4 linked regions of the Pelodiscus sinensis genome follow. The protein of the gene in region 3 interacts with the protein of the main gene of each other region in a pairwise test. Links are inferred from orthologs where the notes say so. Each region holds a gene or a part of one and is shown on either strand. Other genes may lie near its edges.

Region 1 (7,169 bases), on a different chromosome or scaffold from region 3:
GGAAGTCTGACAAATACCCTGTACAAATCTAGGCTCAAACCCTAGAATTACCAGGAGTCACTAGCCCATAGTGAGATACTTGAACATTCTTCTACCAATACAAGCTAACCCTAGCATTTATGCCACATGAGTGATGCCACCTGTACCAAGGTTTGGTCAGATACATACAGGGTAGGTGCTGAAATGTACCAGGGGAACAGTTAACTTGAATACAGGGTCAAATCAGCAACTTCGAGTCACTGACATTTGTCTTACAGACTTTCCCAAGGGCAAGTTTTTGAAAAAAGGCTTATTCCAGTTTTATGAGGCTAGCATGAAGTGTATAAATTTGCCCAGGCAAATGTATACTAGTGAAAAGTCCATTTAGAAGCATTTACGGTGGACGATGGATGGGCCAGACTCATCGTATTCCTGCTTGCTGATCCACATCTGCTGGAAGGTAGAGAGAGACGCCAAGATGGAGCCACCAATCCAAACGGAGTATTTACGCTCAGGTGGAGCAATAATCTAGAAAGACAGGAGAAGCAGTTAGTCAGTGGTCAAGAATATCTGGAAAGGCAGCCTCCTCCTATGACTCAGTAGCTCTTTGGAAAGAGGAGAGCCATTTACCTTAATTTTCATCGTACTGGGTGCCAGAGCTGTGATTTCCTTCTGCATTCTGTCAGCAATCCCAGGGTACATTGTGGTTCCCCCAGACAATACTGTGTTGGCATACAGGTCCTTTCGAATATCTACATCACACTTCATGATGGAGTTGAAAGTGGTTTCATGAATGCCACAGGATTCCATACCTAAGAGACAGAAGTGATCAGACTTCAGTTACCCAACCCCTCCCCTAACCAGCTTTAGATTGCAGTCAGCACTGCAAAGCTAGCACTTGGCAGTCCAGCGATTCTCATGGCTTGTTGTGTTCCAGCACAGATGACGGTTTGGTAGATACTTACCCAGGAAGGATGGCTGGAAGAGGGCCTCTGGACACCTGAACCTCTCATTGCCAATGGTGATCACCTGACCATCAGGCAACTCATAGCTTTTCTCCAGGGAGGATGATGAAGCAGCAGTAGCCATCTCCTGTTCAAAATCCAGGGCAACGTAGCACAGCTTTTCCTTGATGTCACGCACAATTTCCCTTTCAGCTGTGGTGGTGAAGCTGTAGCCTCTTTCTGTCAGGATCTTCATGAGGTAGTCTGTCAGGTCTCGGCCAGCCAAGTCCAGACGCAGGATGGCATGGGGTAAAGCATACCCCTCGTAGATGGGCACAGTATGGGTAACACCATCACCAGAGTCCATAACAATACCAGTGGTACGACCAGAGGCGTACAGGGACAACACTGCCTGGATAGCAACATACATGGCTGGGGTGTTGAAGGTTTCGAACATGATCTGCAAAGAAAGTTCTGTTTTACTACAGGTAGTACGAAAACCTCGCCTCAAGCCAATCTTTGAAAACATGCTTGCATGCAAAAACTGATGTGCTGGGAAAGGAAAAGCAAAGAACGCAGGCAGAAAGAAAACAAAAAAAGAAACCTGAGACTTCAGGAAGGAAATGCCAGGAGGTGTACAGAGCCCTGAAAATATTGAAAGAACACTTGAGTTTTAAAAGAGATCCATAACGAAAGAGATGGTTTGTGAAACAGGGAGGAAGGCAGATCACAGACTACTGCAGCAAGTGTACCTGTGTCATCTTCTCTCTGTTGGCCTTGGGATTCAGGGGAGCTTCTGTCAGCAGAACAGGGTGTTCTTCAGGTGCTACACGAAGCTCATTGTAGAAAGTGTGATGCCAGATTTTCTCCATGTCATCCCAGTTGGTGACAATGCCGTGCTCGATGGGGTACTTGAGAGTCAGGATACCTCTCTTGCTCTGGGCCTCATCGCCTACATAGCTGTCCTTCTGCCCCATGCCAACCATGACACCCTTTAAAAACAAGGCAGGCCGTAAGTGTCAAGGCCCCTTTTCATAACCCCCAGCAATATTACACCTGGCCACTCTCACTTCACGGGTACGTGGCTGGCTGCTCACCTGGTGTCTCGGGCGCCCAACAATGGAGGGGAACACGGCTCGAGGGGCATCATCTCCTGCAAAGCCAGCTTTGCACATGCCAGAGCCATTGTCGATGACGAGCGCTGCAATTTCTTCTTCCATGGTGGAGATCTTGCTGCAGAGGGGAGAGACCTTGGTCAAGGGCGGGTCCAGCACAGGCTGAGCCAGGAGAGCTCGGTCTGTGCTGCAAGCCAAGGCCGGGGGGGGGGGGGGGGGGGGGGGGGGGCCACCTGCAGGTGCAAGCCAAGGCCGGGGGGGCCCCCACCTGCAGGGGGTCACTAACTGCACCCAGGCCTGGCCCTGCAGGATCCCAGCAGCTGGAGCCAGACGTGCCTGCCCCGCCCAGCTTGCAAAGGCGCCACCCCCCATGGCAGCGAGGGCAGCCCTGCCCCCAGCCCGCAGCACGCGCTCAGCCGCCTACAGCCCCGGGCAGGGCGCGAGGCGCAGCCAGGTCCTCTCCCCCCGCCCGCCCGCTGCGCCAGGGGCCTGTTGCCGGAGCAACGGGCTAGCCTACAGCCCCGCCCCTCTGCCCGCGGAGAGCGACAAGCAGCCCCACCCCTCTCCATTCAAACAAACCTCCCGCTCTATTACGTCACCCGCCAGGGGGACCAATCACAGCCCCTACCTGGCCAGAGCCCGCACACGGCCACGGCCTCGCGCCATTCAAACGGCCGGCCGGGCGGTACCACCGCGAACCCCCAAAGGGGGGGGCGGCGCGCGCCCCAGCCGGCCCGCCGGGAAGGAGCCCGGGGCGCGCCGCCGCGGCCTGCGGTTGGCGAAGGGGGGCGGCGCAGGCGGGCGCCAGGCCCCGCGGCCCGGGCAGTACCTGTGGGCAGGAGGCTCCGCTCGGTGCTGCGGGACGCGAGGCTGCTGGGTCCGCTGCCGCCGGCTGAGTGAGACCGTGGTGCGCGCAGCCCCGCCCTTTTATACCCGGGGGCGCCGGCCCCGCCTCGCCGGCCGAGAACATAGCCATATATGGAGATCTTTCCGAAACACGCGCGGCCATTGGCTGGCGCGGCCCAGGCCACGTGGGGCGGCTGGATGGCCTGGCCCCGCCCCTCCCTTGCTCAGCGCGCTCCGCAGCCTGCATGGAGAAGGGGGCGCGGCCTGGGCCAGTAGCGGGAGCGGGGAGACCCGGCCCCCGGGAGCCCCCCGATACCCCCCCGAGCCGGCCCCAGGGAGCCCCCCGATACCCCCCCGAGCCGGCCCCAGGGAGCCCCCCAATATCCCCTGAGCCGGCCCCCGGGAGCCCCCCAATATCCCCCCGAGCCTGCCCTGAGCCGGCCCCTGGGAGCCCCCCAATATCCCCCTGAGCCTGCCCCGAGCCTGCCCCCGGGAGCCCCCCAATATCCCCCTGAGCCTGCCCTGAGCCGGCCCCTGGGAGCCCCCCAATATCCCCCCGAGCCTGCCCCGAGCCTGCCCCCGGGAGCCCCCCAATATCCCCCCGAGCCTGCCCTGAGCCGGCCCCTGGGAGCCCCCCAATATCCCCCCGAGCCTGCCCCGAGCCTGCCCCCGGGAGCCCCCCAATATCCCCCCGAGCCTGCCCTGAGCCGGCCCCTGGGAGCCCCCCAATATCCCCCCGAGCCTGCCCTGAGCCGGCCCCTGGGAGCCCCCCAATATCCCCCCGAGCCTGCCCTGAGCCGGCCCCTGGGAGCCCCCCAATATCCCCCTGAGCCTGCCCTGAGCCGGCCCCTGGGAGCCCCCCAATATCCCCCTGAGCCTGCCCTGAGCCGGCCCCTGGGAGCCCCCCAATATCCCCCTGAGCCTGCCCTGAGCCGGCCCCTGGGAGCCCCCCAATATCCCCCCGAGCCTGCCCTGAGCCGGCCCCCGGGAGCCCCCCAATATCCCCCAGGCCCTGCCCTGAGCCAGCCCCCGGGAGCCCCCCCAGTTGGACCAGCCCCCCTCCCTCTGGACCCTGCACTGTGCCCCCCAGTATCCCCCCCACATCCCCTGCGCTGTGTGCCCCAATATTGCCCCCACACCCTGTGCCTCCTGACACCTCCAGCCCTTGCGCTCTGCACCCACTGGCAACCCAGGATCTCATGCTCTGCACCCCCAGGCCCTGCACTGTGCCCCCTCATGCTCTGCATTCCCTGGTATACCCATGCTCTGCACCCCCAGACTCCGCAACGGCACCCCTGCATCCTGTGCTGTGCCCTGCTGCCACCCCTGGGTCATGCAGTGTTTGACTCAAATATATCACATATCACTGCCCCATGCCAGGAGGGGTGCCCCCATGTCCCAGAGGCACTGGCAGCGCATCCCCCAGACATGGTATGGCGTGTCCCAGGCACAGCGTATTGTAATTGTGTCTCAGCTGCTAACCAGTTGCATTCAGACCCTGCCACGCACCTTCATCCTAATGAGCCGCAGCAGTAACCCCATCGTCCAATCCCTCTTCTCGCTCTAGCAGTGCCTCTGCCACCTTGTGCCCAGCGCCACCCCGCCGCCCCTGGGGAGCTACCTGGGCTGCATGCTCACCAGTGCCCTGCAATCAAGGCCTGCAACTTGATGGTTTAAATCTTACAGCCTCTTTCCTGCTAGGGCTTCAACGGCACCTTACAGTGACGGGCGGGCATCTCTAGCTGTGGGTTGCCCGGGTTTGCATTTGTTTTTAATCGCGATTGCCATCTTCAGAGGGGTTTCCAAACAAGCTAAGAAATGTTTGCATTTGTGGTTGTTTTCATGGGCTCTTCTGGTGCCTCAGGGAGCCATTGCTGGGGACATAATACCTCCTGCATCACAGTTGCAAGAAAAAGCAAACCCCAAGTGACTCAGGTTTATTCAGTGCCCAGCCCTCTTGTAGAGTGCAGTGGGTCCTCAGCTAGGGGATTATGGGAGCTGCATGAATATGGACAAAGGGGGAAATAGTGAATGTAATTAAAAACAAGGGGACATGGAACAGGGATTTCGGGTAAACGTGATTTTCTAGGTACAGTTGTACTGAGTATGCAAACAGCAGCAGTGAAATGCAGCCATCTCTGGGGTGAAGCATGACACAGCAGGCCCCGAAAAGAGCATCCCTGTTCTACACCGGGGTACAAAGTGACTTGGATGTGTTTGTCAACTCTCAGCATACCTGTATGGGTGGGAAGAGGTTAGCCCAGTAGGTTGGGATCTGCATCTTTGTTGCCCAGGAATCTAGGTCAGTCAGGCTGGGGAGATAATCACTAATTGTCGATTGAAATCTGGCTGTATGATGCAAATGAATGGACAGCAGGACTTGATTGGAACAAAAGGCTGGATGAGGCTCATTGCTGGACTCTCCTGCCTAGCAGCTGAGGGAGTAGCTAGCTTCAGCTCCATTTTACAGGTGGGTAAATGGAGGCAGAGAACGGTGAAGTGGTTGTTCCAAGGTCACAACAAGCCAGTTAGCAGGGCTGGACCCCTGACATCTAGTTACCACTGGAACCGTGAGTAGGCCCTGCCTGGAGGGCTGTTGTGTGACAATGATTGTGTGCAGCGCAGCGTGCAGAATACAACTCAGGTTGTTGTGTAGTCTCTGCTCGGAGTGATGGAAAAGGCTCCTCTGGAGAGCAGGCCACTATCTTTGTAGCCCCATCTTCATTGTCAGGGAGACTCCACCCTTTTGGAGAAAGGGCTTTGTCATGTAAAGCCCTGAGCACATGTGGGTGCTACATAAACAAACTCCACCATTACCTTGGAAGCAGGAAAGGTGAGCTTGGTTCTGGCAGGCCAGTGTACACAAACGAAGCAACACACCCCTGGATTAGCTGGAGGAATGAAATACACAGGAGTGGACACCAGATCAGCTCATCTCTAAAAAAAAAAAAAATCAGAGGGGGTGGAGCTCAGAGAATTTCCTGGCATGTGGCATGTAGGTGGGGTGGGATTGGAAGTTACTATGTGGACGAGTTCTTTACAATGGGGGGGGGTTCCTAATATTAGCGATGAATAGCCAGGTGGCGGTGGGCTGGCGGTCCTCTTTGCCTTTCCCCTTCCAGCCCAGGACACCTCCAGCGCCTCTGGGAAAAACACGTCATCTTCCATCACTGCCGGCCCTGGCCTGGCGGGGGGTGGGTTAATCACCAGAGGAAACAGCCATTATTCATCCCCTCGGCACTAAAAGGCTTTTATAGCCGTGCTCTAGAGGTGCTGATGGAAACCAGCCAGGCCTTTGGGGTGAGAGGGCGGGAGGGGGGGCCACGCCTGCTGTTCTTTGTTCTCCCGGCCCGGCGCAATGGCCTGGCAAACCCGCTCTGCAGACAAGGGTCTGGATGGCCTGCAAATCCCTGTGGCACACAAGCAAGATTGGCACCCGACAGGTTAACTGCTGGGCGCTTCCCATCCCCACGGGCTCCATCCAGAGGTGGCTAACCAGCCAGCCCTGCTGTAGGTGCCCGTGACGCGCCTCCTCCCCCGGACAGTAACTTGTTTCTCTTCCTCTTGTCCAAACTAGGAAGCCGATTGCCAGCTCCGCCAATCCCCACTCGTCAGCGCGGATGAGTAACTCCCTATCAGACTCAGATCCTGGGTAGGGCAGCCCTGGGCTCCAGGTGACGAGAGCGGGGGCAGAACACTCATCTCAGATAACCCGTCTGACCCGTGCCCCCGACCCACATCAGCCTGTAGACCCCCTCGAAATACACCAGGCACAGTACCCCCCGGGGACCGCCACGCCTTCTGCCCGTCCGAGTGGGGACGAGACCCCAGCACATACGAAGAACAATGCCAGCCTGCCCCGAATGGCTGCCTGGAGCACCCTCCCTTCTGCCGGAGCGCTCGGGGGGCAAACGGGCATCAAGGCTGCCGCCCGCAGGGTATCACCAGCTGCCAGGCATCAGACACAGCGCCCCCGAGCACCGGTCAAAGGTTTCTCTCGCTGCTTTGCTTTCTCCCTCCCGGGCCGGAGCTATGAAGCAAGTAGCCATAGGGCAGTGGGGTGGGTTCTGATTGGCCTAGAGCAGTGGTTCCCAAACTTTTCAGCATCACGCCCCCTTTCTGATTTTTGAGAAACCCTCACGCCCCCCCCCCCCCCAATAGCAGCAAAACTCATTGAGCGAAAAAAAATCAACTTACCAAGGCCGAAAAACAAAAATAGCAGCAAAACTTAGGGGGGAGGTGCCTGGGTCCCCTCAGACACCCCTGAGTTTCTTCACACACCCCA
Region 2 (7,774 bases), on a different chromosome or scaffold from region 3:
ACTGGTGCAGGCAGGAAAGAAAAATAATTTGCCTTTAGAACAGAAGTAAAAGCAGTGTTGTCAACTCATGATTTTGTCATGAGTCTCATGATTGTTTTCCTTAAAGCCCCAACTCCTGGAGCCAACTGAAGGTGATTATTTCTGCCGTCATTCTTAAAGAAAAATGAAGTTTCTAGCCTTCATGGTTGTGGAGAAAGATCCAAAATGTGGCCTCAGTGCACCCTAAATGCACAAAAAGCAAAGGATAAAGAGAACAGCAAACCTATATTTTTACATTGGCTTTGAAATAAGGAGCCTCTCTCATGATTTTGGGGGAGATAGATACATGATTTTTGAACATTTGGGATTGGCAATACTGTGAAACTTTAAAGTGTTAGTTTCACTCCTGTTTAAGGTCAGTTATTATTGTAGCCCTCAGAGCCCCAGGCAGGTGCAGTATAAACTCACAGGACCTTGACCTTGCAGAATGTAAGTCACTTAACTTCTAGAAACTCCACGCTTAGTGAAGTGCACAGAAGTGATACAAAATCATTTAGATATTTCTACAGTTCTTTCATTTGTTGTATTCAAGAGTTGATAAAGAATATGCATTTAAATTTTAATCCTAACCAATGTCCCTTAACACAAGAGGCCAGAAAATAATATTGTTAGAGGTGCGTGGGCATAATATTTGTTTAATTCTCTCTTTTTAAAAAAACAAACAAACAGAAATTAGATACAGCACTCCTGTCACTTAGCTTTTAAGTTGTATGCAAAAAACCCTAAGTAGCCCATGAAACAATGATTAAAAGGTTCCCTCCCTGTCCCCTCTCTTCCCCCCCCCCAAAAGTCACAACCTAATCTGAAATGATGTCCTTAACAAAGCCTCTCCAACAATCCTGTCTTCTCTCATACAGGACAGAGAGCCCAGAAGGAAACAGTTGGAGTAACAACAGTCCTGCAGTTATCCTGATAGGTTTTACACCACATGAACACTGCAAGCACTATACCTGCAGGAGCAACCACAATCAAATCATGAAAAGCATTCAATTTATTGTAAACTTTTCTCACTCAACTCATTAAGAGTCTTGATTGGAATGATTTAGTTCAGGGGTGGGAAATCTAAGGCCCAATATCCTCTATTAAATAGGTAACTGAAAAACTGAATTCTGAAAATGAAGTTTGTGATAAACATCTGATGCTTTCTATTCTATCTGTTGTATATTTCATTTTGAGTATGATAGTTCAATCTTAGAAAGTTAACCGCTGTAGAGAAAAGCGAGTCAAGAGAGAAAAAAATTAGAACCAAGATTATACCCCCCGCCCCCAAAAAATAATCAGTAATAAGGATTAGAGTTTTGTTTTCAATCACCTATTCTCATTCAGTTTATAATTTTAAAGGTATAGTTCAACTCCATGAACCTCCTCCTTAGCCAGTTAACTAACACACACACACACACACACCGAACTAAGGAGAGTCCAATGTAGATTACTTATCTGCTATCTAAATCTAAGACTCCACAAGAACAGTTACAAACCCCTAAAATGTTGGTATATATATATATATACACACACACACACACACCTCAAACAGGAAAAAAGAGTCAACTGCAGGCTGTACATGATTCACACGTAGCTGCTTAAAGTAACCATGCAATAAATTATCTTTCCCCTACTTTCACACTTAGCACTAACTTTGTCTTAGACAATCTTGTCCTCGTAGGTTTACCTATAGTCAGAAAAATTACAAGAAGCTGAGAAGACAGACATGAGATACTGCCATTAGAAAGCTCCACAGGAAAGCACTGTTTGGAAGCCTCAAAACTCCTGGGAAAGCAAAAGATACTGCTCCTGTACCATGTCTGGGGGTCTCCAAACATCTGTCAATTTTCTCTCACTTTAGAATCCTTCTGATAACTAACAGGGAGTGGAAGGCACATTTTCCCCCTCTCTTACTACTGCTAGAAGGCTTTAGTGAGGGATAGTGTCCTAGACTAGACTACAGGGTTTTTTGTTTTTTTTTTAAAGTGGCCTTTTTTCGAAAAAACTTCACCTGTGTCTAGACTACTGCTGCATTCTTTCAAAATTATATCAAAAGAATGCAGCAGGTTTTTTTTTACTGCGGAAAACCTCATTTTACAAGGAATAACGCCTTTTCTTGAAAATGCTCTTTCGAAAAAAGGCGTTACTGAATGTAAACAGGGCTTTTTCGAAAGAGAGCATCCAGACTGCCTGGGTGCTCTTTCAAAAAAGCGACTTGCTTTTTCGAAAGAAGTGGTTGGTTGCAGTCTAGACACTCTCTTTTGAAAGAGGCTTGTAGTCTATATGTACCCCTAGATACTAACTGTTGCAAAGCAGGGCTGCTATGTGCGGTGGGAGGGAGGAGGAGAAGAGTTATCTTTTTCCCCCTGCAGATAGTGCCACTGACTGACTGCGCTTCAGCTTATAGCTTTCCACACCCCACCAAGCTGCAGTTCAATGAAGTGGACTAACTGGTCATCCTCACCGATACCATTCCCTGTGGGATGTTTTACTGGCCAGTCTTGTCCATTTCACTCTGCAACAGCTTGGGAAAGCTTGCAGCTATAAAAGCCATAGAACTGTGTGAAGAGTCAAAGAGAGAACAAAGCATTGGTTCATATCTGGAAGGGAATCTCAGGAATAAACAGATTCTCTTTTCAAAGAAAGACTGAATACTATAGACATTTATGTTGTAGTTCTCCCCACTCACCAGGGAAAGGTCTCTCCTTGCCATTGGGAAGTGGATTTGTCAAGTCCTTCCCACTTTCCAAAAGGTCTAAGCATCTTCACTGTATTTCTGTAGGAATGGTGAGTTGACACATATCCATTACTCCTCCTGTAGAGAGCTTCTGCTACCCTGCAAGGTACATGCAACCTACCCCTTCATCAGTTTCACTCAATGGCCTAATTCTAGAGCTTGACCAGAAAGATAATTGAATCCTTAGGCGTTACTATAGCAACCATTAGATGTCATCTTAGAATGGTGAGAGATACCCTATCCTACAGTGAATGAGAGAACTTCGCCACACTCTGCCTAGCAGCTAGGGGAGGGGCAGCCTGAACCAGGTGTCCTCCTCAGCCCAAAGGCAAACATAACCTGGTCCCAGAGAGCGCCCTCCGCCACAGTTGCTCCCCTAATCCAAAGTCAACCACCACCCAGCCCCGACCACCCCCTTCCCAAAGCACCCCCCACACCATGGTCAGAGTAGCCCAGATCCTCCCCCGCCACAGCTAGGGCAGCTTCAGACATCCTCCGGTGAGCCCCCTGGCCCTAAAGCCTCCCTGCTGTGGCTTGACTCCAAGCCCACTCACACCCAACCTCCGCCCCAGCCGATACCGCCCAGCCCAGAACTTCACCTACCTCCCCCCGAGAGATCCCTTGCACCCCAACCCTCTGTCCCAAGCCTGAGCCCCCTTCCCACACTCAGAATCCCTTGGCCCCACCTCCACCACATGAATTTTGTTATATGCACCAATACGAGGGTGATATGTTGCACGTCACCTCCATATTGGTGCAACATAATTCATTTTGCTCAATGGCGGGTAAAATTATAGGATTATGAACAGTGTTCCCTTTAATGACTGCAGCAGGCATGCAGCTCAATAATGCCAACTGTCTATGATATGCAAAGTATTTCACAGTTTACTCATCATTAGAGATAATCTGAACAAACTATTACAAAATAAAACAAATTGCTATTTTTGTCCACATCAGCTTAGTATTATCCTTCCATGCAAAAGGTCAACATATCCTGAGTTGAATACAATTACAATAGATACCTTTTTTATGGTACAATCATTGCTGAAAGATGGCTTGACTTTCACAAAAAAATTAATACTCCCTGGTTGGAATCCATGTTTATCTTTTGAAAGACTGGTCTTTAGGAATGTTCATTAACTGCCCAAGCAGGGACCATCACAAGCATTAGTCTCAAATGTTGACCTGTTCCCTAGCAGCAGTGGACAGCTACCCAAACTGGAAGTAACATATCCTCATTATAAACTTCAAATCCTTCCTGAGATTAAGAAATCCATGATAGCATATGCAATTTACTCTATTATAAAAAGCAATACTGTAGAAAAACACATTAAAAGGTAAAATATCCTGCATATTTTCTAGGGGTTGAAAGTTTTCCAGAATTTCTAGATGGTTTTGCTATTGCAGTGCATTCCAAACTGAACTATTACAAATGTAGTATTTTCTTCCATTCAGAAGACAATGCATGAATTCTCTAAATTAGTGTCATCATTATGAAACTGTTCCTTATACACAAGCTTTTCAAGAATTGGACACACACACCCCTCAACATTATGACTTTGATACCCTTGCCTTTATATTAGATTGGCAAGATTTTCAGAGCAGGAAATGCATATTTTGGTAAAGGAATGTGTAAGTTTGCATTTCTCATGATTTATAAAATTATATTTTATTCCTTTACATCAGCCAATCATAAGCACAAAATGTTCCCAACAAACTGCGATCTGAGAAAGGTTTTGCCAAAAAAGGATGGGGTGAATAGGTAGGGATTTTGTTTTTGAAGTGCTTGGAGAAAAGTTAATACGTTTAATTTTGGAGTATACTCAACTGCCTGCATATTTGGTTTCCCTGCTGCTACCCCTGTGCCCAGATACCTCTAGATAGGTGCTTGGTATAAACAAAAAACTAAACAAGTCAAAGCTATGATTTTGGCACTACTTAGGCTACCTTTCCACTACAACCTAAAGATGGTATTCCCCTACTCATATACACATTCATATTAGCCCTCAATGAGCTAGCACAAGTATAACTAGCAGTATAGCCTGGATCCAACAATAGCACCAGCAGAGACTAAGCTGTGCCAAGTACAAACCTGCCTGAAATCAGTAGGTATATACTATGCACACTCAGCTGTGTCTGAGGCTACCTGTGCTATTGCAGATAGACAGATATTTATACTCGCTTGATGATGATGCAAGTATACATAAATTAGAAGGGTAATCAGCCCCTTAGCTCAGAATATAGTAAATCACGAGCACATATCTGTATGTATACACGTATGGACCCACTGAAGTAAGTGCTTCTGTTCCTATCTATAATGTTATGCAGTGCTTTGAAGGACTGCTAGTGTGGATCTACACTGTGCCCATAGCTCAAAAGAAGCTACACAAACTGCTAGCTTATTTCGAGTGTGTTTCAAAATAGCTTATTTTGTTATTTGGCGCGGTCAGCACGGTACCAAAATTTGAAAGCGAGTGCTATTACAAAACGTCCCTTAATCCTCAAGGACTGAGTTTTACAGGGACGTTGGAACAGCACACCTATTACTTCAAAATAGCTTTCGAAATAACGGGCATGCTTTCAAGACATGGCATGTGCTCTTTGAGGATACCGAAAGTATCCTGAAATAGCACCGCAGTGTTGACGTACCCTACTCAAGACAAGTTTTGAGATGAAAGCCCAGAGATATGCTTAAATATCCACACGCAAGTAAAGAAAAGCTATTGCAAGCTCAGTTATACTACTGTTGAATTTCAATCAACAGGGTGTCCAAATGACTATTTCTGAATGTATGATTGGGATAACCATATGCACAAAGGTAAACAACTTCATGTGAATTTTTGCATATGACCTTGTTCTAAAATAGGTAGTCTTGGGGTAATTTATTACTACTTCTTTCAAAGAAATTAAATGTAATTTTGAAAGTGTTAATTTGTAAGGTAAGTCTCATCTAAATGGAGCACTAGTGAATATAGGAAGGCGTTAGCATCTATTATCTTTTATACTGTGCTGATGACTATGTAAAAGAAAAATAATTCTAAACCAATTACTGTTTAAAGGAGAATAATGTTAAAGCTATATTTGTGTGAAAAGGTTACAATAATGTATTACTACTGTTGCCTTATGGACCCATAATTTGTTTTGAATGTTTAGCTTTTTTTAAATTCAATACTTAAAATGTAAAGTTTATGATACATTACGTGGAAAAATAAATAGAATGATCATCAAGAACTCTATAAACTTCTGCATTTACCTTTTCTCAGATGTTGTTTTTACTTTGTTCATCTTGGAAAACTTAGTTCTTCAATTAACCATCTCATATAATCTGTAAGACATTTCAAAAAAAATTAAGACTTGTTAGCAATAGGTTGTTTTACTGTACAATTAAGTGCTTCCATCATACTCTCTGCACTCAAGTTTTAAAAACAAGTGATTTTCTAAAGTGTACTTGTTACTCTGAATGAAAAAAAAAGTAATTCTTGTTCCCAATTCAACATATAGGGCCTAAGAAAAGGAGCAAAATTAACATACTACTGAAAAAAAGCAAACACGCAGTGAAGTACTAAGTTACTGTTTAATCATACTAAATCTCAGGGAATACAGGCTTTTATATAATATTGGAAAAAAATCAGTAATCATCATAGCGCATGTATCGCTAACAACTTACACAACATTTCCAGAGAAGAAATCTACCCTCTTAAAAAAAGCTTCTCCTGGAGCCAAAACTCAATTTTTTCCCCAAATTTTATGTGTTTCTCATAGCATACCTACTTTTGTTGATGGCCACACCATGGTCTTAATTTTGAGACCAGAAACCTAGATGCACAGTCAGAAACAGAATTTTGGTCCTCTTCTTTAAGAAGGACCGAAAAAATATTTTCTACAGAAACCACAACATACTAATACTTAAAAGGATGGGAACATTTTAAGTACATAGTGTCCTCAGAGTGTCTAGGTATGTCTGCACTTGCACCCTCTTTCGAGAAAGGGATGCAAATAAAGACATTTGAAATTGCAAATGAAGCCGGGATTTAAATATCCCGTGCTTCATTTGCATATTCACATGTCGTCGCTATTTCAAAATTGCTCTATTTCGAAATAACAAACGCTGTTAAGATGCGGTTATTTCAAGAGAAAACTCTTCTCTCAAAAATAACCCTTATTCCTCATACAATGAGGTTTACAGTTATTTCGAGAGAAAGGTTTTCTCTCAAAATAACCGCATCTTAAAAGCATCTGTTATTTCGAAATGGCGACATAACACGTATATGCAAATGAAGCGCAGGATATTTAAATCCCAGCTTCATTTGCAATTTCAAATGTCTTCATTTGCATCCCTCTCTCGAAAGAGAGTGCAAGTGTAGACATACCCTCCATCTTATATGGTGCCACTGTTTATGGTCCTTAGTTGCTCAATCATCGTGATTTTGTCAGATGGAATGTGAATGAGATTCCCTATAATACAAAGATTTCTGTGCAAGGCCATGAGTTATAAAGCACTGAAGTACAAGACAAACATTCAAGACTCACATACATTCAAGACTCAAACACACTTATCTGCTTACATTTTGTGGGTGAGAAATGAGGTACAGTACTAGCCCTCAAGTTTACAAGAACTTGTTATTACCATTGCCACTCAAGCATAACAGGCAATTAGTTTTGTTATGCAATTAGTTGCTGAAGAACAGGAGACGGGTATAAAGTAATCTTTAGCAGGCTTAGTTCAGCCTTTCTGTCCCCTGCCATATCAAAAATGCGTAGATCAAAATAAGATGCTTCAGAAGCAAGGAGAGTACTGCTGCTTCAGGAGCAAGGAGAGTACTAAAACCAGGAGAAGAAAGGGAGTCTCCCTTCTCCCTCCCCCCCAACACCCCCCCCCCCCACACACACACACACCCCACCCCCCACCCCACCCCACCCCCAGAAGCAGCTGTAAGTGTTGGGAAAGTTTACAAGATCAATATAAACAGTGAGGTATAAATAGCTCCCCTCCACTTTTCTGGGAAAGGAAATTCC
Region 3 (7,650 bases):
TTCATATAGATTAACTGTTCTTGAATAATTTATCTGATGCGCTAGATACAAATCTTTTTTCTAACACGTTTCTTAAATCTGGGCTATCTGGACAGATTATCTTCACTCTGGTATGTGAAAATTCACAGGGTAGCCTTTGTTTTTCCTACACCCTCCTTCCCCACCAGTCAACACTGACATCAGTCATCCTTCAGGGGTTCAAAGTGGCAGCATAAAGAGAACTCAACATTTTGATACTGTTGAGGCAGATCGACCATTAACTCAAGCCAACAGATCCTGTAGCCGACTAAATTAATGGAGGCTGGGTTTTAGAGGACAGAAGCACAATGCCATGGAAAGTGTGCATATCAGGAGTCGTGATAAATGCAGTTTCAGCAGAGGATTTCATATCTCCATTTGTGGAATTATGTTTTTAAAATGCAAACAAAATACTGCTGAGAGGCTAAGAGTATCAATTGTTTTGGGCAAAATATATCCTGCCCAAGTTCTGCCATTGAACCCCCCGCCCACACACTCACACAAACAAAAATATGACAACATAATTTTAAACAGTCAGGACCTTAATACTAAGGAAATTCTTAAGTGTTATAAGAACACTAAACTGCTGAGCTTCCTTAACAAAACACAGTTATGCCAGGTTCATTCATCTCTCAAATTGCATTTGCTTTACACTGGCATTAAGGTCAATAACATTTCTCCTGATAGTCCTCAGCAGGAGTGAGGTGAATTGGACGTAAATATTTATTTTTAAAATATATGGTCCTAATTTTCCAATCTTGTCTATGCCTTGAACTGCTGAGCAATCATTTACACCATTATTCAGCCAGAAACTCACCAGTAGGAATGTGGGGTGAATGAATTAGACAGGAATCTTATTTCCACTGAAGCAAATAATATTTCTACAACTACACTCTGAAAAGTTCTTTAGCGGATGCCACCTTTAATTTTATTTTTCTTTCACATTTTTTTTTAAAGTCAGTGCCAGCACTCTTGCTGTAATAAAACAGGCATGAGCTTTCAGACAGGAATTTCAGCACCCATGTCCATGTTAGGTACTACTCCTTTCACTAACCAATAGATGAAATCAGTAATATATTCTCAGGGCCAAAAGGATGGAATAAAAGAGTTACAGGAGAGGGGACAAGTCAGATCACAAAGAAAGTGATGGCTGCCATATTTGGTAAACTAGACATCTAATGGTACATTTGAAATTCAAATAAGAGCTTTCGCTTTAAAAAGGTGGGGGCAGGATAGCTAATGCAAACAGATGAAGACACAAAAAAAGCACAGGGTTTAGCCTCTGTGTTTAACAATGCACTGTGCCACAAGGTGTGACCCTCCAGGCCCCAAATCCCACCCCCCACATCGATTCAGTTCCATTGGTGAGCGGTGCAAATATAAATACACACACGGTGTGTACAAGCACTAATAAGCATGTATTTAATCAAGCTCCCTAAGACAAGCCGGTGCCTGATGAGAATGTCAAGGCGAGGTGCATCCCATCCCCTGAGGGCCAGGGAGGCGAGGAGGGAAATCATTAAGGGCTCATTATGTTCGAATTTCACAACACTATCTGCAAGATGGACTCTATCACCCCCTTGCTCCATCCAAGGGAGAGGCAGCGGCGGAGGCAGGCCCCAGGCAAGAGCATGCGGATCAGTAGGGTAACGGCTGCTGTAAGAATCAGCACAGCGGAGGGCAAAGGGAAGCGAAGCCACATCCTCGGCGCGCGCGTGTAAATTAAAGCCCAGCATCTCGTCTGTGTGTGTGTAAATTAAAGCCAGCGTCTGTGTGGGGGGAAGGGGGGATTAAAGCCAGTGTCTCCGGCACCTGCCTGAAATGTCACACTTCCAGGTGGAACCCACCCGCAGAGACAGCCAGCCCACACAGCGGAGAGCGAGCAGAAAGCATGTCAGAGGGAGACACACACACACACACACACACACACACACTCTCGCGTGCACAGATGCTGGCCGCCCAGCAACGGGGGATATGACACATCTGCTGTGCAACAAGCCCGGACTTGGCCCCACATTGCCCCACGGACACCAAAAGCCGGCTCGGGATCTGCATCCCACCCCCCTCGGCAGCTACGTGCCGAGCACACACAGCGCTGGGGGGCAACAGACTATGTCGTGGGCGCTACAGACAAGCAGCTCACAGCGGGCTGGTTCTCCAGCGCGGGGGAAGGGAAGCGGGGGAGTGACAGGTTGTAGCGAGGCAGATTTTGGTTCCCCTCCTTGGATCTTCAGAAAGCATCTCACACACACACACACACACACACACTGCTGCTCTGTCTCACACAGTGTTGCTCTCTCACACACATACACACACTGCTGCTCTCACACACACGCACGCGCACCCATAGCTGCAGCCGAATCACACTGGCAAAGCCGAAGAAACTCCCCCCCCCCCCCTGCAACCCGCTTGCATACAATGGCAAACTTATCTCCACGCAAAGCCATAAAGCGCGCGGGGTCAGAGCCGGGCGGGCGCAGGGAAAGGGAATTGGGGGTAGGGTTGTTTTGCTCACCCTCAGGGCTGAAAGATCTATCTCATCCAGGCTCCGAGCCGGAGAATCACTCGCCATGTTTACTTCTTTGCCGGAGAAATTGACCAAAGATAGAAAGTAACCGCTGCGCTCTTCTGGCTGGATCCCCACCTGGGTCTATTTCACTCCTCTCCTCATGCGGGGGTGGGGATGGGAGACACCCCCACTGCACACCGAGGAAAAACACGACACAACCAAAAAATAAAGCCCCACTGCAAAACAAAAAATCCCCCAGCAAACAGTGCCTGGGCAAGTCTTCCTCTGCTTGCAATCCTTTAGGTAGGGAGGGCGAGGCCAGTGCAAAGCTTAAGGGCGATGCTGGGGAGTGGGTGTATTTAAATAGGACATGCTTTTTGCTTTTCTCTGGATGGCGGCTGCATTGGCTGCTGTTATAATGAGACACATCAACTCCTCCAGTCGGATGGAGAGAGAGCCACAAAGTGTCTATCACGGCTTCCTGGGAGGAGTGAGTGTCACGAAGTGGGTGTTGCCTTTCCTCAGGAGAGAGGCAGCATTTCCATGCCATGTGTGTTTGCACTATCCTGCTGGGAAAGGAAAGGTAAAAACTGCCTGGAGCTGGACCCTGCCGATTTCTGGACTTATAACCCTGAAATTGGACCATCAAAATAAAGGCTGTCACTTCAAAAGAAAAAAAACACACACACACTCCCACAAACACACACATGCATCTAAATTGAAAAACAGTGTAGCTGTTCCTGCTTTAAGAGCAAAATCTGGACCCTGATATAACCCAGCCCAATAACACTGGGGGGGGGGAGAAATGCATAGTATCTGAGTACTGTTGCATTCAGCCAATTTTACATGCTATATCCCCAAGTTTTATTGTGTAAGTAGAGAAATAAAAATGTGGTCCCCCCCCCACATCCCAGCTTTGTTGCAAACTGATGAAACAGATCTGCAAAAATGTGCATAGGGCACTTGGTCCTGCTAGATTCAGATAGTTCTGTTTAAATCCTAAATCCAAGAATCCCACCACAAGCCATATCGAGAACAATAGCTCCCCACATTCCATAGTAAAAATTCAGAGCCATTTCTTCCAAAAAGCATCACAAATATTTATCCGCTGGTTTCTTCCATTTTTGGCCCCAAACCCTCTAATTATACCATTAACAGACTAACATGATACCACTCCTTTATCATAAGAATTCAGCATTCACACCTTCTGGTGCAGGTGAAGCCACTTTCTGCATATTAAGTTTGTACAATTTGGGGGCTGGAGCCAAAAATTGCCAAGACACAGAGGCTTGAATCCAGATTTTTGTAGCACTCCATGTTTTCATGATGACTTAGAGTCTGAAATTGTTAGGTATAGAGAGAGTGACTACACTTACTCTCTGTCTATGCCATTCAACATGGAGTTGAGGCCTAAAAATGGATTTGAGCCAATGCAAGATACAAGATGGGGGAGGATAGCAGTGCTCTAGCTCTGAGATGTGCCTGTGACTAGATTTTTTGTTTTATTCGATAAGAGCAGCTAGACTAGATGTAGTGTATAATTTTGGGTTTGGGGACAAAAATCAGTAGAAACTAGCAGAATCTAGGAAGATCCAGCTTTTATTTGTTTCCTTATTTGTTATTCTCTACCACCCCCCAAACCTGGTACATTCCTTGTATTTGTTGCCTCAAGGAAGAATATTATAGAAGATGCACTGGGGAGACTGTCAAACTTCACAGGTTTGTGCGGGAATATTACAAAATGCAGGTCCGTGAAGTGGCAACACAACCACACAATAATGTGTGTGCAGGACAGCAGTTGGCTATTAATTGTGCTTTATGGATTAAGATGCTCTTTGCACTACATTTTAGTGCAAACAATCATGCAATTGACAGAAAGGCTTGTTGCCTGCAGCTAGTGTGTCAAGGGCTTTGTAGTCTGAGACGCAGCACACACATATTACCAGGAGTAATTTGGGAAGCAGAGCTAGTCAGTAGGTTAGCCTAGCAAAACAAAGCCTACTGAGTGAAATTTCCCTATCAGCAATAGGCTATCATAACCCAGTTGCAGATCCAGGGGCAGCCCCACCCCACTTTGTCCCCTCTGTTCACGGTCACTGTGCTGTCTACAGAGTGAATACCCTGCAGGGAAGGAAGTTCAGAGCTCTAGAACTGAATCAGTCTTCTTATCATTAATAACACTGATCACAGAGTTCCTGATACATGCAGAGAAATGGAGCAACAGCGTCATCAACCAGTGCTGGTCGTTAGAGCATTTTTTCCTAGAAAATTTCGAGTGCAAAGCAAAATATAATTTGTATAATTGAACTGCCAAATGTCTCAGGTAACTGAAATATACAGAAGTATAATGTTCACAAGCCTGTTTAGTGGTGCAGTGATGCAAACGATCAAGGTTTCCAATACAAGAATAAATAAATCACATGTTGCAAAAAGATTAATCTCTGCTGACATTAAAAGGATCTAATTTAACTCAAATCTTAAAGTAAGGGGAGAAAGGCTTTTACAATATCATGGAACAATCAAATTATTGCCATGATTCTCTCATTCTTTTTCAACAATGGAATTGTCTTTTAAACCTAGTGTTGTTTTTATTGGTTGTAACCTATACATTGCAATGTTGCACTAACACATGAGAACCTGAAAGCGAAATTGGCTAGAAGCCAATAACAAACAAAAATGAAAAGAGTGCTACTGTTTTCATTGTTCTAGATGAGAGAAAGGAAAAGAGAAAAATGTATGTTTAATATTCTTTCCATTTAGAGAAAATAAGGTGTAATTTATGAAACAGTTCATGACATTTATTTTTTTACATGTATAGAGATTAAACCTTCAAGCAGGCATGTTAGCATGGACACCTGCCACAATATGATGTTGTGATGTTGGCAGAGTGACTTTCAGAATTGAGGCCTATACAGTAATTTGTCTTTGAAGATGTAAATATAGAGAGCCAATTTATATCAACAACCGAATAAATAAGCGAAATTATGATAGTTTATAGTATAGTGAAAATTCCAATTTCTTCAATGCACTTCAGTGTGCAAATTGTGGCTCTGGTCATAATGAACATCTGCTGATAGGATGTTCTGCACAAAGAATTACTTTACTATTTGTGTGTGTTTATAATATCCAAATCTGTGGTCACTTTACGACTTCAAAATTATTATAACTGTGCTATGTACAAAGGCTTGGTGGCAGTGGACATGGAATCCAGATTGCAGAAACTTATGATAGCTAGGAAGCGGCCATCTGAACCAATTTATTTTTTAATGGAAAATGCAATTTCTGCAAGATCACAATTTTCCATGGAAAAATTTCAGTTTTGTTGGCAATTTGTGATACTCCATCAGAAAAATTGAAATTAAATATTTAATTTGGTATTAGCTTCACTTGAATCAGAATATTTCATTTTGTTGAACTGACCAGAAACTCATCATTTTTAATCAATTCAGTATTAAACAGAATTTTTCTACTGTGTGGCATTGTCTCATAGGAGCTGTTAGTTTGGGCCTCCATTCTATCTTTTTGGCTGGGCTCACTAGTGGATTACATCTCCAGTGATACAAGGTGGAGTTCCATCTCACCAAGATACCTGGTATATGTAAATGTCATAACTGTAGATATATAGTTGTTGTAGTACAGACAAGAAGCATGGTCCTTAGTGGAGAATGGGGGTTCAGGGTCCTGAACTACAGTTCCCATAAAGCAATGCACTACAATACAGAATTTCAGTTTAATATAATGAGCTGATTTGAAATGCAGTATTTAGGATTAATTCAATAACCAAAATTAAACATTTCTGTTTCAAGAACTAGCAAAATAATTTGTTTCACTAGAAAATTGGGAAACAAAATGTTTTGTCATTTCTAGATTGAAAAAGTTCTGAATATTTCGTTCTGTAAAAAAAAAATTAAAAGTTTTGTCCAACTATAGGACAGATGATTTAAGTTACAAAAATGATTTGAAATATAAAAATAATGATTTAAGTTAAATAATTATTTAAGATATAAAATAGCGTGTTAAAGAGGTACATTTCTTTAATAAGATTCCAGTTGAATTCAATAGGCTTTGTATCAGTTCCAAAAGGATTGCACAGCCTTTGCAAAGAAAAAGAGGGACTGATATAATAGATTGACAATGACCCATCCACTGATATATTTGATTACTAGAAGGAAGATTCAGCTGAGTCACTGGTTTCCAAAAATTCCATGACTATTAGATCACATCTTCAGTTGGTGTAAATTGGCATTGCCACATTGACTTCCATGGTACAGTACTAGGTTGATTTACACCATCTGAGGAGCTAGGCCAACATTTTTACATGAAATGCACTAGTAAAAGGGCATTGCCTAAACACAATAAAGAGTGTTTAAATATTAATACTCTATTAAATGGATAATAATTGGATTTCAAGCTAATGTGATTCCTGCCACAGCTGTGTTACAAGATACTCAGAAATTAATGGCTACTTGTGTCCATCCTGCATCTATTGATCTTCCCAAATGCATTGTAATTGGTACATCAGGCGATTGACGCTTTTCGTGCTGATGGGAGTTGCCACAGGAGAGATGCAAAGCAATGAGGAACACTCTGGGTACTTCACAATCACAGCAGTGACACGTTGCCTGTGGTTTATTATTTATGGCCATCGCTATTGTTTAAGAGAACAGATGGCAACCACACCAATAATGAGTGATTGCAGCACACTCTCTGTGCAAGCCTTACCTGCATCCTTGAGTCACTCCAAAACAGGGCATGGCATCATGCAACATGATGCAAGCCACTACACACATTAAGAAGTGCCATGGGACATCGCAAGGGAACTTCACTCTTGTTGTCTTAGCCTCTCTCTTGAGGAAATGGACCTTGCTTCCTCAGGAGTTGTGTACGTCAGCTGATATTGCTTGGAAGAGGAGTAGACATTAGAAGTCACAGTTAGGCCTTAGGAACGGGAACCGTGGGGTATGATTGTGGCATCCTGCTCCAGGTTCCTCAAAGCCCTGTAGACTTCACACTGTGCAAGATCTCCATTCAGATTTGCAATGGAGAGCATCATGGGGTAGCACATAGCATATGGGCTATGAATGAAATCCTGGCCACATGGAAATCAAAGGCAAAATTCCCAT
Region 4 (7,824 bases), on a different chromosome or scaffold from region 3:
CAACACCTACCTACTTCACAGCGCATAGTGAAACTTGACTAGTTTTTGTAAAGGGCTTTGAGATGTTTGGCTCAGAAATGTTATTTTTGTTATTACTGAAAGAGACAAGGTAGATGAAGTAATATCTTTTATTGAACCAACTTCTACCACAGCCCCTCCCCTTCCACTTGAGGCCCTAGCCCCTTCCTGGAACATGGAACTGCCCCCCACACACACCTTCCCAAAGACCTATGGAGGCTGTAGGCACCCCTTAGTATTCTTCAGACCTGGAGAAGGTAATTAGAATGGACATGCTAAATGCAAGGTGTGCCAGATTGTCTGCCAACAGGTAATATATTACCTCACCTATCTTGTCTCTCTCATATCCTGGGACTAACATGGCTACAATAAGACCACAGACAAGTTTTATTACTTTCTCATATTCCTCTAAGATAGGAGGAGAGTATCTGGGAAGATGAGCCAAGATCTATCCAATCCCTAGATCCCAGATCTAAATTAGGGAAGGGCCATGGATGATGTGCATGCTTCTTTCAGATCTAGTGACACTGGGTCCTGCAGGAAAGCTCATGTGTTAAATGTACTGCTGATTCAGTGGCAGATTTCACACAAACCACAATTAACATACCATGCCAATCCATCTCCTTGTGTTGCAACCAAACGTGATACCCAACAGAAAGGTACAGCAATGACTTAGCTCTAGGGTTTTTTTCCACCTCAGAGCAGCTACCTCCAATGAACCTGACGTTCTTGTTCCTAACAAGTGAAGCTGCTGCTATTACCACTCCTGGGTTTCTATCACTACTACTTTTTCCATGTTTCTTCCCATTGAGGCTACGTCTACACTGCAAGGTTTTTGCGCAAAAACCTGCGGAGCATCCACACATGAAATGTGCTTTTGCGCAAGTAAACCAGCAGTAAAATAGCAGATCAGAGGGCTTTTGCTGGTGTAGGTAAACCTTCTTCTACGAGGCAAATCTCCCTTTTGTGCTATAGCTATTGCACAAAAAAGCAAGTGTGGAAGCTCCTGAGGGAAAAAGCACAGGTGCTCTGAGGCCATGAATGGCCATCAGCTTTCTTGCGCAAGAGCGTCAATGCAGTGTGGACGCTCTCTGGTGCAAAAGCACATTGCTTTTGCAATACGCTTTGAGGTGTGGACGTGCTCTTGTACAAGAAGTTTATTGCGCAAAAACTATTGTACAACAGGCTTCTTGCGCAAGAAGCCTGCAGTGTGGACGTAGCCTTAGTGTATGTTTCAAATTATTTCTCTTCATATGTACAAGCAATTTTTACTATTTGAGGTGTATTTTCCATGCTGGATCTAATTATGTTACTTTCTTCCTATATTCAGGTGTCCCCTTTTTATTATTTGTCTCTTCACAATTATGTGCAGCTCTTCTTAGTTTAGCATCATTTGCAATATTGAAATTATTTTAACTACATGTTCCAGATCACCAATAAAAGGTTAATGAAAATAACATTGAACCTCAAACTGATCCCTGCAATACCCCCACCGGAACTCTTCCCACAACTTAAGACAATGGCATTAGCATTATCTGGTGTTTACTGGAAAACTTAAAAAACAACAAATAGTCTAGTAGCACTTTAAAGACTAACAAAACATGTAGACGGCATCATGAGCGTTCATGGGCACAACCCACTTCTTCATCTGTTGTTTTTTTAAGTTTTTCCTGTTACAGACTAACTTGGCTACACCTCTGAAGCTTGTGTTTCTTGTCCTTAAACCAGTATTCAGGCCACAGGGTTTATATTCAACCCAATTTGAATACATTTTTTCTAATAAGATTTTGTGAGTTTGCCGGATTTTCTGTCCCTTGGGAAGTTTATATGAGTGCACATGCCAACCTCCATGACACCTTGACTTCAGGGCTATGTCTAGACTGGCATGATCTTCCGCAAATGCTTTTAATGGAAAAGTTTTTCCGTTAAAAGCAGTTGCGGAAAAGAGCGTCTAGATTGGCACGGACGCTTTTCCGCAAAAGCACTTTTTGCGGAAAAGTGTCCATGCCAATCTAGGCGCGGTTTTGCGCAAGAAAGCCCCGATCGCCATTTTCGCCATCGGGGCTTTTTTGCGCAAAACAATACCGCGTTGTCTACACTGGCCCACTTGCGCAAAAGCATTTGCACAAGAGGGCTTTTGCCTGAACGGGAGCAGCATAGTATTTCCGCAAGAACACTGACAATCTTACATGAGATCGTCAGTGTTCTTGCAGAAATTCAAGCGGCCAGTGTAGACAGCTGGCAATTTTTTCTGCAGCCTAGGATTATAAGGATTTTGACCTATAAAGTTCAAAAGATCTAGGTGTTTCCTACCTGAGATACGGCTTCTTTTTACATGCCATAGTGTTGCAGTTGAGATCAGTGAAGGCATCTGAGCTGGAGTCTCTCAATACTGTACAAAAAGGAAGGATCTGCTGGCAGGGCAACCTCCAGGGCTTTCATCTTTGGAATGCACTCCCTTTTTTGGTCCAAAATAGCATCACTCTGTTGCTTTTCCAGGCACACTGTAAAGCCCTTATCTTTGAGTGGGTCTTTGGCAGAGCTGAGCCTGACTATGAGAAAAGGAAGGTTTTAATCTGCAATATGCACACACACAAATTATTATTATATAGTGACCCATGTTCTTTTCTGAGCTTTGTAATTATTTTCAGGTGGTATTTATAATTATTGTCAAGGGTGCTAAGAGTTTCAGCTAGTTTATGTTGAATTTCAATCCAAATAGGTAAGTAAACATAAAGCAATGCATGGGCCCATAGCTGTCTGCAAATGTATCTAGTTATACCTGAATACACACAGGGATTTTGTACATACATCTCTGGCAATCTACTTGAAAATATGCACTTAACTAGAGACTGGAGAGCAGTCAATTTCTGGTATGTGGAGATCCTGTTGAGAGTCAGCATGGCAGGGAACAATCATGTGGAACTTAGCAAGATAGGTTTTGTCAGTGCAAGAGGACTATCTTTTTTGTGGCATTCCGTGGGGCTGGAGGTTAGACATACTGAGAAATGGAGGGCAGGAATGCAGGATGATTGGAAGGAGGCTTGTGGGTCTATGCATGAAGGTGTTTGGGGCTGGTACACGCTGCAGATAGGGAGTGTAGGACTGGCATGGTGGGGCTGAGAGGCGGATGCTGAAGGATGGGGTGTGCGGGATATTGGAGGATGGGGTGTGTGGGGCTGGGAGTGGGAAATGCTGGAGGACGTGGTGCTGGCAGAGAGGATATACTGGGGTAGAGGGAGGTTTGAAGTGTGGGATGGGCTGTGGGCCAGGGAGTAGAGGATTGGGGATAGTTTGCTGGGGAATGGGGGGTGTGGAGCTGGAAGTGGGGGATACTGGAGAATGTGGGGACTGGGGTGGTGGGACTGGGAATGGATTTGCATTGGGATGGAGTGTGTGGGGCTGAGAGTGGGGAAGGATGGGGTGTGTAGGTCTGGGAGTGGAGAACACTGGAAGATGCAGTGTATGGGGCAGGGGAAATGGGGGACACTGGAGTCTGGGATAAAAGGGGCTGGGAGTGGGGGTTAGGGTGTGTGGGGATAGGAGTGTGGGGCTGCTGGGAGATGTGGTGAATGGACTGGCAGAGAGGACGTACTGAGATAGCAGAAGGGCGGAGGGCTAGAAGTGGGCGATAGGGTGTGTATGGCTGGGAGTGAGGGACAATGGAGGATAAGATGTGGGGCTGGGAGTGGGGGACGCTGGAGGATAAAGAGTGGGGCTGGCGGTGGGGACGTTGGAGGATAAAGGGTGGGGCTGGCAGTGGGGGATGTTGGAGGAGAAGGGGTGGGGCTAGCAGTGGGGACACTGGAAGAGAAGGGGTGGGGCTGGCAATGGGGATGCTGGAAGATAAGGGGTGGGATCGGCAGTAGGGGAACTGGAGGATAAGTTACAGTGGGGGACGTCTAGGTTGGATATTAGGAAAAACTATTTCACTAGGAGGATGGTGAAGCACTGGAATGGGTTCCCTAGGGAGGTGGTGGAATCTCCATCCCTAGAGGTTTTTAAGTCCCATCTTGACAAAGCCCTGGCTGGGTTGATTTAGTTGAGATTGGTCCTGCCTTGGGCAGGGGGCTGGACTCGATGACCTCTTGAGGTCTCTTCCAGCCCTGGGATTCTATGATAAGGAGTGGGGCTGGCAGTGGGGGGTGCTGGGGAGAAGGGGTGCAGCTGGCAGTGGGGGAGGGAGAAGGGGTGCGGCTGGCGGTGAGGGGGGGGAAGAGGCAGGGCTGGCAGTGGGGGCACTAAGGAGAAGGGGTGCGGCTGGCAGCAGGAGTGCTGGGGAGAATGAGTGGGGCTGGCAGCCAGGGAAGGGGGCGAAGGGGTGGGGCAGTGGGAGGGTAGATGGGGTGGGGCTGGCAATGGGGGGGCGAAGGGGTGGGGCTGGCAGCGGGGGGGGGTGAAGGGGTGGGGCTGGCAGCCGGGGGGGGGGTTAAGGGGTGGGGCTGGCAATGGGGGGGCGAAGGGGTGGGGCTGGCAGCCGGGGGGTGTGAAGGGGTGGGGCTGGCAGCCGGGGGGGTGTGAAGGGGTGGGGCTGGCAATGGGGGGGCGAAGGGGTGGGGCTGGCAGCGGGGGGGGGGTGAAGGGGTGGGGCTGGCAGCCGGGGGGGGTTAAGGGGTGGGGCTGGCAGCCGGGGGAAGGGGCGCTGGCAGCGGGAAGATGGGGGTGGGGTTGGGGAGCGTGGAAGAGGCCAGGGGGCGATATTAGGACTTGAGGTGGGAGATGCTCCCAGGGGCCGCCCGCGGTGCATGCCGGGAGAGGCAGGGCGCGGTGCACGCCGGGACGCGAGCCTCCGCTTTAGCTTCCCAAGATGGTCTCTAGGCTCCTGTCCCCGCCCTCCCTCCTGCACATGCGCAGTGGGTGCGGCGGGCCGAGCTGCTCCCTCCCTCCCTCCCTCCTGGCGGCCGGGGCGCTACTGACAGAGCGAGGAGGAGCCGGCGCGGCGGCGGCGAGAGCGGGTCGGAGCCTGCCGAGACCCCCCCCCCTCTCCTCCCCGCACCCCCACCGGCCCCTGGAGCGCCACCCCCATCCACGCCACAGGGCCCCGCGCCGGTGCATGGGAGCGACGGGCGGCGCCGGCCTCAGGGAGCGAAGAGAAGCGGCGGCGCGGGTAAGGCCGGGCCCGCGAGGGAGCCCCCGTCCGCCCGCCCGCCGCGGGGTCCTCCCACGACCCAGCCGGCAGCGGCGGGGTGAGCGAGGCCCTGCGGTCCGTGCGCCTCCCTCCCCCCCCGTCCCCTCCCTCCTTCTCTCCAGCTCGGCTCTCAAAATGGCCGCCGCGCCCGTTGGTGGTGAGGAGGGAGGAGGGGGGGCAGGGCGAAGGGGGAGCGCCCATCCCCCCTCTCCGCAGCGCTGGGGGGCGATGGGGGGGGGCAGCTCCCCCCTCCCCGGGGTCTCAGCGCCCTCCGGGGGATTGAACAGGCGGGCAGGGCGGGGTGGGCCCAGGCCAGGGGGTGGGGGAGCGATGTGCCCCTTCTGGGTGGGCTCCAGCCCCCTCTCATTGGGGTGTCTTCTCCCCTCCCCGGCCTCTAGTCCTTCGCCCTGATGACTTAGCAAGCAGCCGGCGAGGAGACGACGGACCTGATGGGCCGGACAGGAGACTGGCAGTTAAAAAAAATCCCAGAGGGTGAGGAGGGTGGCGTGTGTGTGTGTCATGTGAAAGGGTCCTAACTCCCCTCTTACCCCCCGAAAATCCTTAGAGGATCTAGGTCTGTTTCTCCTCCTTGTTCCCTTTGAGATTCGGGAGGAGATGGCCCGGATCTTCAGAATCAGCTGCGGCACTAACAACAAAACCAGGGTTGCTAATAGGAGAGGGCTAGCCTTTCTTTATTTTGAATCCGTTTCCCACCCGCCCTTATCTCCCTGCAGTGATTCAGTAAGTGGGGGGAGGAGAACATTGTTAGGAGGTGGGTCAGACCTTCAGAATCAGCTGCTGCAGAAATGGGGGAGGGAGATCTAACCTCTCTCCTTTTGGGGTGTGTGTGTCAAACCCATGCCTAGTACTTGGCATTCAAATGTTTTTTTAAGGACAAAAATAGGTGGCTGGGAGAGAGGATGGAGATCTAAGTAGGAATGTTTCTTGCGGCTGATGGGCAGGATGGAGTTTATAGTCAAACAGATTTTGGGGGCGGGGGGGGGGGAATGTAGGGGGGAAGGAGGTTGGCCGTGATGTCTTTTACCTTCATATAAAGTTGGTATGGCTCAGTTTTGTGGGTGTGAAATTTGTGTGGAGGGTGAAGGAGATAGCATACTTGGCCTTTGATACAACAATAATGTGCTTTTCCATAGTAGCTGTGGTAAAATTTCTCTGCTGATAATGCTGCAGTAGGGCTTGGTTGTTGCAGGTCAAATCAATTCATAATGAATTACCTAACCAGGATGGTGGTAGGTTACTGAAGCTATATTAAAAGCCTTCATTGAACGGTTTGACTGCAAAATAATCGTAGGTGATGTGTTTAGGTTTATTAATCTGATTCAATAATCAGTGAGGTGTGTGGGGGTTCTTCAGGGTGCTTATGGCAAAATGTTACTTGTACATCTTAGTTTCATGAGGTAAGGAGAATAATCTTGTGTTCACGATTTATCATTTATGAAACGATTGTGCAGCATTCAAACTGGCAGTCAGAAGAGGGAGGGTCTCCTACCAAAATGTATCATTTGCCTTTAAAGTGGCTCTGGAAAACAGGAAAATATCTTGAGGAGCTAAACAAAGAAAATATATATTAAGCAAAAGGTTTTGTTGTCGATATCTAGTTTGTTTTCAGGGCTATTGTTTTTGTGTGTTCTTTTGATTTGACCATGTTTATGGATGCTGCGTGCAGCCATTGAGCAGAGAAGAGACTGGGTGGAGTAAGGAGGCAGAAGCTGCGAAATGGCTAGATTACCCTTTCATAGCATTTTTTTTCTTTGCTTGCGTTTTGCTGGGGTGGGGGAATGCTAATTGCTGTAACAATGAAGTCTCTTCTTTAGGGAAGAGTCAGTGGTGCAGCAACCTTCTGAAATGAAACGTATCTAGTATTCTGTTTTGTGGTTTATTTTTCTGCAGGGTGGATATTGATTTGTCTGGCAGTAAAAAGTGACCAGTCACTGTTGCAAAGCAAGGATTATTGTCTGATTATCGTTTTCATATGTTGACTTTGATTTTTTCCGTTGTTGACTTAATTTCATTTCAGTATAAATCTGAAGATTATTATAATATTTAAGGGAGATTGTTTATGCAGAAGGTGAACCTAAATAATTCTGAATTAATATTGTGGTTCGGTGCTCTGTTCATTCATGTAACTCGATGGATTCCCTACACTCTCCTGTGCCCTAGCAGGGTAATTTTATGAACTGTAGGGAATGCAGGACTTAAAGATGGGTGGTGCAGTTATGTGAAGTGATATATGTAAGGATTTTTAAGCTTTTGTAGAAAGGTATTGCTTTGTATAGCATTCTCATACTAAAATCTTCTGCATCATGGGTTATATAGGTGCTAGAAGAAGCTTTAGAACAAAGAGATTTGGGGAACACCAGAAGGATCAACTGGTAGACATCTAGGAAGGGCTTCTGCTTCTTTCTAAAAATACTCTCCTAATGAGGGGTAGCAGTGTTACCACCCAAATCTAGGCAACCATAGAGAGTATAACATTGAACTTAGGGTGTGATTCTCTGATAAGCTGTCTGAACCATTGTGTAGTTGCTCTTATCTGTTTATTTGGGGTTTAGTCTGTACTTGCCTAATACCAAAGATCAAACTATATCTGGTGTTGTGTTAATTTGACAAATATCTATATAAGGCAGTTGTAAATCAAACGACTTTTAAAAATTAAA

What was found.
Region 1: the proteins of TNIK (region 3) and ACTG1 interact in a two-hybrid assay, tested with the Homo sapiens proteins (2 studies listed by BioGRID and IntAct). The link is inferred for Pelodiscus sinensis from reciprocal best matches to the Homo sapiens genes TNIK and ACTG1.
Region 2: the proteins of TNIK (region 3) and AGTPBP1 interact in a two-hybrid assay, tested with the Homo sapiens proteins (2 studies listed by BioGRID and IntAct). The link is inferred for Pelodiscus sinensis from reciprocal best matches to the Homo sapiens genes TNIK and AGTPBP1.
Region 4: the proteins of TNIK (region 3) and PAFAH1B1 interact in a two-hybrid assay, tested with the Homo sapiens proteins (2 studies listed by BioGRID and IntAct). The link is inferred for Pelodiscus sinensis from reciprocal best matches to the Homo sapiens genes TNIK and PAFAH1B1.

Annotation. Positions count from the first base shown.
Region 1 is NC_134730.1:27,479,058-27,486,226, reverse strand, and holds the start of ACTG1 (actin, cytoplasmic 2), read right to left. Parts: upstream 3,010-7,169; 5' UTR 2,868-3,009; intron 2,157-2,867; 5' UTR 2,144-2,156; coding exon 2,021-2,143; intron 1,916-2,020; coding exon 1,676-1,915; intron 1,384-1,675; coding exon 945-1,383; intron 792-944; coding exon 610-791; intron 508-609; coding exon 364-507; 3' UTR 1-363. UniProt on the Homo sapiens protein: Actins are highly conserved proteins that are involved in various types of cell motility and are ubiquitously expressed in all eukaryotic cells.
Region 2 is NC_134716.1:41,579,127-41,586,900, forward strand, and holds the start of AGTPBP1 (cytosolic carboxypeptidase 1), read right to left. Parts: upstream 3,007-7,774; 5' UTR 2,785-3,006; coding exon 2,711-2,784; intron 1-2,710. UniProt on the Homo sapiens protein: Metallocarboxypeptidase that mediates protein deglutamylation of tubulin and non-tubulin target proteins.
Region 3 is NC_134720.1:39,647,680-39,655,329, forward strand, and holds the start of TNIK (TRAF2 and NCK-interacting protein kinase), read right to left. Parts: upstream 3,011-7,650; 5' UTR 2,591-3,010; coding exon 2,534-2,590; intron 1-2,533. UniProt on the Homo sapiens protein: Serine/threonine kinase that acts as an essential activator of the Wnt signaling pathway. Recruited to promoters of Wnt target genes and required to activate their expression. May act by phosphorylating TCF4/TCF7L2.
Region 4 is NC_134731.1:11,786,692-11,794,515, forward strand, and holds the start of PAFAH1B1 (platelet-activating factor acetylhydrolase IB subunit beta), read left to right. Parts: upstream 1-4,820; 5' UTR 4,821-5,125; intron 5,126-5,617; exon of another isoform or gene 5,618-5,638; intron 5,639-7,824. UniProt on the Homo sapiens protein: Regulatory subunit (beta subunit) of the cytosolic type I platelet-activating factor (PAF) acetylhydrolase (PAF-AH (I)), an enzyme that catalyzes the hydrolyze of the acetyl group at the sn-2 position of PAF and its analogs and participates in PAF inactivation.